3 linked regions of the Yarrowia lipolytica genome follow. The main gene of each other region encodes a partner of the protein of the gene in region 3 in a complex. Links are inferred from orthologs where the notes say so. Each region holds a gene or a part of one and is shown on either strand. Other genes may lie near its edges.

Region 1 (3,249 bases), on a different chromosome or scaffold from region 3:
CTGGGGCTCTGATACGCCCCCTACTACGTCCCATTCCTAAAGTGTTCCGGCAGCAACATCTCATGCGCGTTTAAAAAGATTTAAATGCTGAGGTTAACGGATCAAGAGTTCAACTCCAAAAACCGTTTAGGCAGCTTGAAGGGCTAAATAATGGTCATGGACAAGCAAAAGAATGGACAAGTTAGAATGAGGGTTGGGCTCCGATCTTGCCGCGGATCAGGTCATTTTTTATAGCTTCGAGGTAATAAAAAGAAGATTGGAAGAGTACAAGTTGGCTTCGTAGACTTCCAGAGAATGCTGTCCGATACACTCTTGGAATAATTTGGTGGAGCGCTATACAGGCAAAACACACGCAGTTGCTCGGAAGCCAAACCCGAGAAAAGCCAAGAGACACTTTAGAGACCCGATGATACGAGGGCGAGGCTGAGCATAACCGCAATGATGTTACATGTCGCTTTGTGTCGTTCAGCCGCTTCGAACGCCGGGGCTACGCTGTGTTTACTGCCAATTCCAGCGTTCCTGCTTGCTTCCGCTTTGCTCGCCTACCTTTGCCACTTCTATGCGAGAGGGTCTCAAACATGAAGCCTATTGCCCATGGTGAGAACCGCAATGCAGGGAACATGAATACGGAGGTGAGAGTGTATTTATATCGTTGGCCGAGCGCCCTTGGAGCTGCTGAGTAGGTCTTTGTGTTCGGCACGGCACTTTGCGGCGTAGAGCTGCAACGCGCAAGAAGCTCTTGTTAGTGCAACTTTGTGTACATTGGTGCGCGCCCCTAATACATGACGTGACTCGGCCGAGCTAAGGTGGATGATGGTTGGTTGCGACAACGTGGTGACACTCTATGAGGCTGAATACGAGCACGTAGAGTGCGGGGCTGTGCACACATGTTATTTGATCAATCAATATATATCCGCCACTACTTTTCTGTGCAGGAATATCGCAGCTTTTGTATGCGGTTGTGCACTACTCGTACATGTGGGACCCTCTCTACCAAGCGTACTATCACGGACTGGAACTTGGTGGGGCAAGAGCATCCGGAATAATAAATTGGTGGATTCCGGAGGGGGTGGAGTGTTGCCGTATATAGTAGTTTGTTGGGTTTTGGTGCAAGGCTCAAGGATACTGTGTCTATCCCCACACTTCTCGATCGGCTATCTCTCCCCGGATTGCTTTTCTTGGCGATGGGCTATCTTTTGATATCCGATGATATCATGACAGTTGGGGTCCCCTGTAGGCGCCTTCATAATACTACTTATAGTACCCCGGTGAGAGTCGAACCCAGGAGGAGGTTTGTTGAATTAGTAAGCCACGGACATGTGAGCGTGGAACAATACTTGAGTTATAGCAAGGACTGACGAGAGGAAGTGGCACCTGCTTTGTGGCCTGGGATATTACCTTTGGGGCAGGTTGGAGCTACAAGTACAAGTACTTGTGCCTGGCCTGCGTATCTTGAGGAGGAATCGCGCCCAGACAACTTCACTTGAAGGGGCTATATGGAGCCTTCCTAGCTTGTGTAAGAGAGACGACTTTGCCATACGGTTGCTAAGCCGACCAAGCTATCCATAAAAACACAGCACCAGTATCTGTAGCCAATACCAAGGATAATCAGCACACCAACATCCATTAGCTGCCATCCAATACAGCATGTACACAACCTACCGGTATCTACATACCCACTACCATCACCACATCCAGTCAACGCCTCAACAACCCGCATCACACACGCAGCACAAACCTTACCACCGAACCTTGTCGTATCATCACAAATTATCGAGTGTTACCACCACAGCACATAATGTCGAAAAACCTCGTTGTCTTTGGCGGAAACGGATTCCTTGGTAAGTAGCAAGTCTCAACACACACCTCACACACAGCTGCTAACACAGGACGACACATTTGCAAGCAGGCCCTCTCCAAGGGATGGGCAGTCACTTCCATCTCTCGATCTGGACCTCCCAAGAACGCCGAGAGCTGGATGTCCAAGGTCCAATGGAAGCGAGCTGACGTCTTTGAGCCCTCTACATACACCAACGAGCTAGAGAAGGCGTCGGCAGTGATTCACTCAATGGGAATCTTGCTGGAGGGCGGCAACTACAAGCAGGGACTTAACGGAGGAGTTAAAGACGCCCTGTGTGGTCTCGTCAAGGGCTCCAATCCTATGGCCAAGGACCCAAACTTTTCCTACGACAAAATGAACAGATTGAGCGCAGTTCTGACGGCAACAGCATTTGCCGACACTGTTCCGATGGACGAGAGAAAGCCCTACGTCATGGTGTCTGCCGAGAAGACCAGCAATCTCATCCCCGATGGATATATCACCTCCAAACGAATGGCAGAGACCGAAATCTCCGACCTCACCAACCTCAGATCGGTGTTCCTGCGACCCGCATTCATGTACGAGTCTTCCGGGGACCGTCAATTTGGCATTCACAAGTCTACACCTCGAGACGCTCTTGCCGAGGCTTTAAAGGTCGGATTCGGCGCCCAGACCGTTGCTCGATCCTTCTTCCCTGCTCTTCCACAGTTCATCCAGCCTCCTCTCAGTGTCAACGTTGTTGCGGAGGCAGCGGTAGATGCTCTGAATGAGGACATCGAGGGAGTCATTGCCCTGGCTGCTCTCAAACGATTTAGTGACTCCAAAAGTAGAAACTAATGTAAATAGATCGTGGAAATGATATGAGATACGACAGACTGGTTAATGGCAGGCCTACTGCCGATGTAAGGGTATACTTTTCACATACCTTCACATCAGTGTTACTCGCGTAAGGACCTTTAGAAGATATTGAGACCTGCCACGAAACTGGTACCTGATAACCACATCCTTCATACCAAAACAATTACTACTGTACTTGTACTTGTATCTGGGTCTGAATGCACAAGTATATTGCAAACTGCATCCGTGACCCCTTCGATGATCGGCGTTTAGTGGATGTAGCATAGTGACTGGATTCATCATAACGGACACAGACTTTTGAGTATTTGTACTGCAAGTAGTAGTCGCGAGTTTTTTATGATAGTGCCTGGCTCTCAGCAGTTCACTTTATTTCAACACCTCCTCACAGCTACTCGGCATGTCTGTATAAGACGCATACGAACGAGCTCTGTATCAGAGACAGGCACGAGCCGTATATTACCTGCTTAGCTCGACGATGCGCTTGACACTTGCTATGACTCAATAACCATTGGGACGACTAATATTGTGCTGCGGTACAATAATTTGTGTAGTGACAGTGTCGCGACCACGCA
Region 2 (3,171 bases), on a different chromosome or scaffold from region 3:
AACCCTCGATTTAAAGTTTGATGGGAGGTTGTTTTATTGGTACGAGTACAAGCGTGTTAACTATAGAAGTACAGTAACAGGTAACACACAGTGATCGACAGCTACAGCATGACTTCTTGTACGATGACTTACGGTCCTGACATACCTGGGGAGGTTCTACAACGGCGCCAGAAGAGAATTCAGCAAGCTGCCAGTGCCCTTGAAGTGGTCCAGGCTGGACCGCAACTGTCCGAAGAGGCAGACTCATCAGACGACGATGACTTCGGTCCATCACTAACAGGTAACCCCAACATCAGCGAGACAGAGGCTCTCAATAGGTTAGAGGAGAGGAGCAGAAGCAAGACATGGGTGAATATGGACCCTGCTCACAATCCCAACCGGGATGGGTGGATGCAAAATGTCCCTGCGGAACTCTCAGGGACTTTTTCGAGTGAGTCGGCGCAGGATCGTGCTAAGGAGATGATGGGGTTTAAAAAATAGTTCACCTTCCACTCGTACATTCGTTAATACATATTTATATACAGATGCTTAAACTCGCTCGGCGACCCAAATGGCTCCTCGACATCCTGCTTTGATGGTTTCCGTGAGAAGCCAGTAAGGTCTGGCTTCATGCGAGTCGTTTTCCACAGCAATCTCGAGATGCTCCAGCTCCTCGTCACGGAATTGCTTAACAATGCTTTTCAAAGAGGTGATCTCTTCGTCCTTGGACCGCTCTTCCTTGGGAGGGAAGTTTTCGTGTAACCATCGCAACTGAGTGTTGTAGTGTCCACCAATAACAGTTTCTACGGCTTCAGTGCAAGCCATGGCACCTTCTTGACCAAGAAGGGCCGTGGCACAGCCTAGACCAGTTGCTGCAACCTTCCAGATCGGGGTAAGCAGAGACGGCCGGACTCTGTATTTCTGTTGAAGCTCGTTGAAAGTTCGTCTGTGGTGCTGCTCTTGCTCCCACATGTGCTTGATGAGAGGCTCGATCTCAGGCTTGGTTCGGCTGAGAACCATGTACTGACCTCGGTAAATAAGGTCCGCACCAAGTTCTCCAGCCTGGTCGACACGGATGAGTTTGGTAATAAACGAGGCCTCTGCCTTACTGAGTGCGTGTCGGGCCATGTCTGTTTGGAGGACTGAGAGAAGATGCGTAAGGTGGTGAAGTTAACTTTTGTCGGCTCATGTCCAAATTCATTCATCCCAAGTCCGCACTCTGCTGCGACGCAGGTGTAAGACTCGAACAGGATGTCGGACGCTGCACATGATAGAAGTCCCCAAATTGAAATCGCACATACATCACCAGGATCGTAGGCTGCTCTCTACATATCCCCACCTCAATTGTCAAGACACGGGGACACCCTCAATGACTCGGAACTCACTTGCTGCCGATGAAAACTAATCTGTACTCAAATGCCACCTCATATGATAACGAACCTTAACTGTGTGATCTGAGTAAGCAACTCGGCTTACAGTAGATGGGAAGCATAGAGCCAGAAGACGAAGAGGGTGAATAGAAAACATAGTAAAAGGGCTACGAGAACCAAATTATTATCGAAAAAAACAAGCTTATCTATATTACCAGTCGTCTCCTCCACCATAATCATCAGCGCCTCCCGAATACATATCGCCGTCGTTGTTGTTACTGTTGTCGTCATAATAGTTGTTCACAACCGTGTCACCGCCATCATGGTGGCCACTCATCATGTCTCCAATAAGCATACCACCAAGAAGACCACCACCAACACCCATGGCGGTAGTTCCCCAATTTCGTCTGTGAGGTTGCTGCTGCTGCATCTGCATAGGCGGGGGCTGGGCATACATAGGTGGAGGCGGGGGTTGTTGGTACATGGGCTGGGGGGCCAATAACCAGGTCCAGGGCCATAACCAGGTCCAGGGCCACCGTATCCGGGGCCCGGCCCTCCGCCATATCCGGGGCCCGGTCCTCCACCATAACCTCCGCCACCGTGGGGACCGCCGAAGCCACCAGGGCCAGGTCCCCCGCCGTATCCTTGAGGGCCTGAACCACCACCACCATATCCACGCTGCTCCTGGTGAGGTCTGTTGTTGTTGCTGTTGCTGTGGCTACTTCCCCGAGAAGGAGGCCGGTCGTATGATGGCGGACTGTGGCCACCGGAGCCGCTAGGCTTGTCCCACTGTGATTTTCCGTTGGAGAGGTCGACATAGTAAAAAGTCTTGTAGTTGGGGTCCCATTTGGCTAACCAGCCATCGGGGACGCTGGGGGGAGTTGGCTCGTTTGGCATGTCGTTGCTGAGGCCTGGGCTGGACTGAAGATGCCGTGTTACAGCTAGCTACGTTTCGATCGCTGCACTTCGTGGTCAGACTTTATTGGGATTTGAGATTTGGGTATGGGTAGTTTTGGCCAAGTTTACTACTGCACTACACACAGGGTAATTAGGAGGCTGTGTCAAATGTGACCGGAGGCTGTGTATGACTGATCCTTCACGTGCGACCTTACAAGCAATGAATACGGTGAAGGAATAAACTCGTCGCGCACTATTATATGCCTCTACGAGCGATATCATGATATTTAGATTTGTAATACGCGCCTTTGCTCCGGGGAACTGCACAACCTCTCAACAAGATTATGGTGGTACAGTATCGTAGACAGTAAGTATGTACAACCCCACCTGTCACCCCGAACATAAAAGTACCATACAAGTGTGATTGAATAGCGCCGTTGTATTTTCTTGTGGGTTAGACACAACTCGACATATACTACAGGTAGGTGATTAAATCTATGCACTTATATACAGGCTTTCTCAAAGATGAAATTTCTTCCCAGTGGAAGCAAATGCTTCGGAGGTTTCGGTCTCCAGAAGCTCTGTTAGGGTGGTGCCGTCACGCAGATAAACCCATTCACCGTCGACATAGTCATAACGCTTGGGGCCGGAAATGGGGGAACTTAGCCAAATCTGTTTGTTCGGGGGTTGTTTGTTGATAACGTAGGATCCAGCACCAGGGATTTCCAAGCTCATCACGCCTTGAGCTAGATCCACATCCAGCTCATTTGAATCGACCTCCTCAGCGTATTCTTCATAAGCAATCAAGATAGACTCCAAATATTCATCCGCTTGAATGTGGTAATCCTCTAATTCCAGCTCGGTCGCCTGGAGAGAATATAGTCGGAGCGTTTCATGATGTGTAGTGATGTGTGGCAAAGTAACT
Region 3 (2,952 bases):
CTTGCTCAGCTTCTGAAGCACCTGATACCGCAGCCAGATTTCGATGGAGACGATAAGCAGCAGATTTGATTGCGCTCAGCTTGGCCTCTATCGACATAAGAATGGGATCTTTCGTATCCACAACCACTCGTTCCACCTCGCTCACCAGTTCTCCGTTGTAAGTGATTTTGGGGGCTGTATTGGAGGCTACCGGAGCTCGTTTGAAGAGGTTAGTGAGAGCAGCCAAGTTTGCGGAAGACGAAGAAGGTGAAGGGTTCTGCGAGGGAGTTCCAGCTCGACTGATGCCTCGGTCCACAACATGCACGTCCACCACAATGGCACACTTGGCAATGTAAAACTCGACAATGAGTTCTGGAGGTAGGTTTGGGTTGAAGCAGTCAACTGGAGGAGTGTTGGGGAACAGCCAGGGTGTGGAGTGCGGAGTTCCAGACAGCGAGACGGGGATAGACTGACTGGAGTGCGAAATGTTGGGGTTGGGTGTAGCACATCGCGAGGTGTTGTTGCTGGGGATTCCTCCAGCCGGTTCAGTGGGTTTCTCTAGCAACACGACAGGTGAGTTGATTGACGCCACGGCTTCGTTGATGTGTTTGATGAGCGATTGGGCTACTATATTGAGGTACTGTGGATCTCTTGAGCCGATAATGGCGTCACATTGGTCCAATGCTAGGCTGACGTGGTTGATACAGCTGTCGATCTGGCTGAGTTGGTATCCGTCTGTTTTTGGATTGATTCTGACTGTGAACGATTTGTTTTTCAGTGAATGGAGTTTCAGTTGGATGTCAGTAGCGGTAATAGCAGCTCCACTTCGACAGACAACTCCCTTGAGTGTTTCCGAGGCGTGCGATGAGACGGGTAGCTTGAACGGAGGCAAGGGCGAGTCTTCAGGGGCTGTGAGTGAAAGCAGACATTGCTTCAGACCGTTGGAAATGGTCTCTGGCACTATTGTTTGCAGATCGTCTAGGTACCACGATAGATGTGCCATGTTGTGATGTGTGGTTATGGCTGGAAGATTGTGTCTGAGCTGCACATCGAATCATGAACTTACCAGCGCAAGTACATACTGTACCGAAAGCTTGTAGTGATTTTTGACATGAAGGAAGGAAGAGAAATTTGCATAAAATGGAATATTGAAGATATGATATGATGAGGTCTATTAGGTGTAACTTACGTTTTCAATGTTCGAAGAATATATATATATATATCACTTACTGTAGGTACAAGTACATACAATGTAGGTCGTATGAGGGTTGTTCAGTGATCATACTATACTGTTCATGCATTCTTAACTACAGTCCTCACCACAACATCGTTCTGAGATACCGGTAGTCACAATTTCGGGAAAAAAATTACCATCCAAACAAGTCTATAACATTTTTTTATTAATCTGGACACTAAATATTTCCCAATGGTCTACCCCACTTGTGTCGTAGCTAGAGCACCTGGTACACCACACAGTTGCTCATCTTGATGCATCAACTTTATCTCTCACATCAGTCCACCAACTCTAAGTGAATCACTTTCTCTTGCAAGCGTACAAACATGTTCCGAACGGTGCCCAAAACCACACTATTGGCGCCAATTCAGCGCCGAACGCTCTTAAACGGCAACTACCCCAAGGCATACCCCGAACACGTGCCTCTCACGTGTCTGGGACGAGCCGTGCTTGCTGTAGGCAGTGGGTTCGGCACCTTTTTCGACTCTCGACGAGGCGATCTGGTTGCCACTCTTGGAGAAGCAACCGCCCAGCCTTACTTCATCTACAAGCTGCGAGAGCAGATGCTCAAAGACCCGACCGGTCGACGTCTGCTGCGCGAACAGCCCCGAATGACCAGCAAGAGTCTGGATCTCGACAAACTGCGAAACATGAAGGTCGGAAGCATTGGACGAACATACGTGGAGTGGCTGGACAAGGAGGGGGTCTCACCTGATACCCGAGCTCAGGTGCGATACATTGACGATCCCGAGTGCGCTTATGTCATGCAGCGATACCGTGAGTCCCATGACTTCTACCATGCCCTGACGGGTTTGCCTATCATCATGGAGGGTGAGCTGGCTCTCAAGGCGTTCGAATGGGCCAATACAGGTCTGCCCATGAGTGGTCTGGGCATGGTCCTCACTCCTCTTAAGTTCAAGCCCAAGCAGCGCAAGCGGTACTTTGACGTCTACCTTCCCTGGGCTCTCTACAATGGCTTCCGATCCAAACCTGTCATTAATGTGTATTGGGAAGAGGTTCTGGAGAAGGACGCCGAGGAGCTGAGACGAGATCTTGGAATCGAACAGCCTCCGGATCTCCGACAGATGAAGAAGGATATGGCCAAGAAGAAGTGACCAAGGGTTGCAAGTATATAAGTTATAGTCAGAACGAAGAAATTAATTTGGGAAGGGGTAGAGAAGGTGCGATGAAAACGATATTGTAAGAGAGTACCCTGTGGTACCGGTACTTGTAATACTGTAGTGGTGTTAGAAGGTGGTAGTTTGGATACGTGATGGAACTCTGTACATAGGATACAATATGCAAGTTTTACCTGGGTAATGAATCCCATTCTGTGTTTTTCATCTTCCTGATCTATCGAAATTATTAAATGCTCACACTCTGTTAATTACACTTGTCAAGCTGGGGTCACATCGTTCTTTGTTGAGACACTTAGACTCAATCATCGGACCTCTTTCCATAGAGTACATACGTACCTGGGAGAGAGGAGGTATTTGTATCGTAGCGAAAAGGAGGACTTCTAAATGCCGATTTCAATACAAAAAAACAAACAATATCAACCTGAAAAAAAAACATAAACAATCCAGCACACGAATACACTGACAGTAAGACTCCGAAACCCCTTCTCACCTCCTCGGCGCAACTCTACTGAGCTTAGTCAAGAGCCCTCGATAACAACCTTATATTGCTTCTCCTCCACGTCACTTCACCATTCTCTGACATCACTACATCATCACATC

What was found.
Region 1: YALI1_F34625g (region 3) and YALI1_E32754g share a complex: the UniProt entries of both Saccharomyces cerevisiae proteins name them as parts of the multi-subunit COQ enzyme complex. The link is inferred for Yarrowia lipolytica from reciprocal best matches to the Saccharomyces cerevisiae genes COQ4 and COQ11.
Region 2: YALI1_F34625g (region 3) and YALI1_E18269g share a complex: the UniProt entries of both Saccharomyces cerevisiae proteins name them as parts of the multi-subunit COQ enzyme complex. The link is inferred for Yarrowia lipolytica from reciprocal best matches to the Saccharomyces cerevisiae genes COQ4 and CAT5.

The regions. Positions count from the first base shown.
Region 1 is NC_090774.1:3,274,068-3,277,316, reverse strand, and holds YALI1_E32754g (uncharacterized protein), read left to right. Parts: upstream 1-1,798; coding exon 1,799-1,841; intron 1,842-1,889; coding exon 1,890-2,656; downstream 2,657-3,249. UniProt on the Saccharomyces cerevisiae protein: Component of MIOREX complexes, large expressome-like assemblies of ribosomes with factors involved in all the steps of post-transcriptional gene expression. Component of a multi-subunit COQ enzyme complex required for coenzyme Q biosynthesis.
Region 2 is NC_090774.1:1,825,854-1,829,024, forward strand, and holds YALI1_E18269g (uncharacterized protein), read right to left. Parts: upstream 1,108-3,171; coding exon 529-1,107; downstream 1-528. Other genes in the region: YALI1_E18281g (uncharacterized protein), read right to left, coding at 1,686-2,246; YALI1_E18291g (uncharacterized protein), read right to left, coding at 2,766-3,171. UniProt on the Saccharomyces cerevisiae protein: Catalyzes the hydroxylation of 2-hexaprenyl-3-methyl-6-methoxy-1,4-benzoquinol (DMQH2) during ubiquinone biosynthesis.
Region 3 is NC_090775.1:3,461,161-3,464,112, reverse strand, and holds YALI1_F34625g (uncharacterized protein), read left to right. Parts: upstream 1-1,539; coding exon 1,540-2,328; downstream 2,329-2,952. Other genes in the region: YALI1_F34631g (uncharacterized protein), read right to left, coding at 1-982. UniProt on the Saccharomyces cerevisiae protein: Lyase that catalyzes the C1-decarboxylation of 4-hydroxy-3-methoxy-5-(all-trans-hexaprenyl)benzoic acid into 2-methoxy-6-(all-trans-hexaprenyl)phenol during ubiquinone biosynthesis.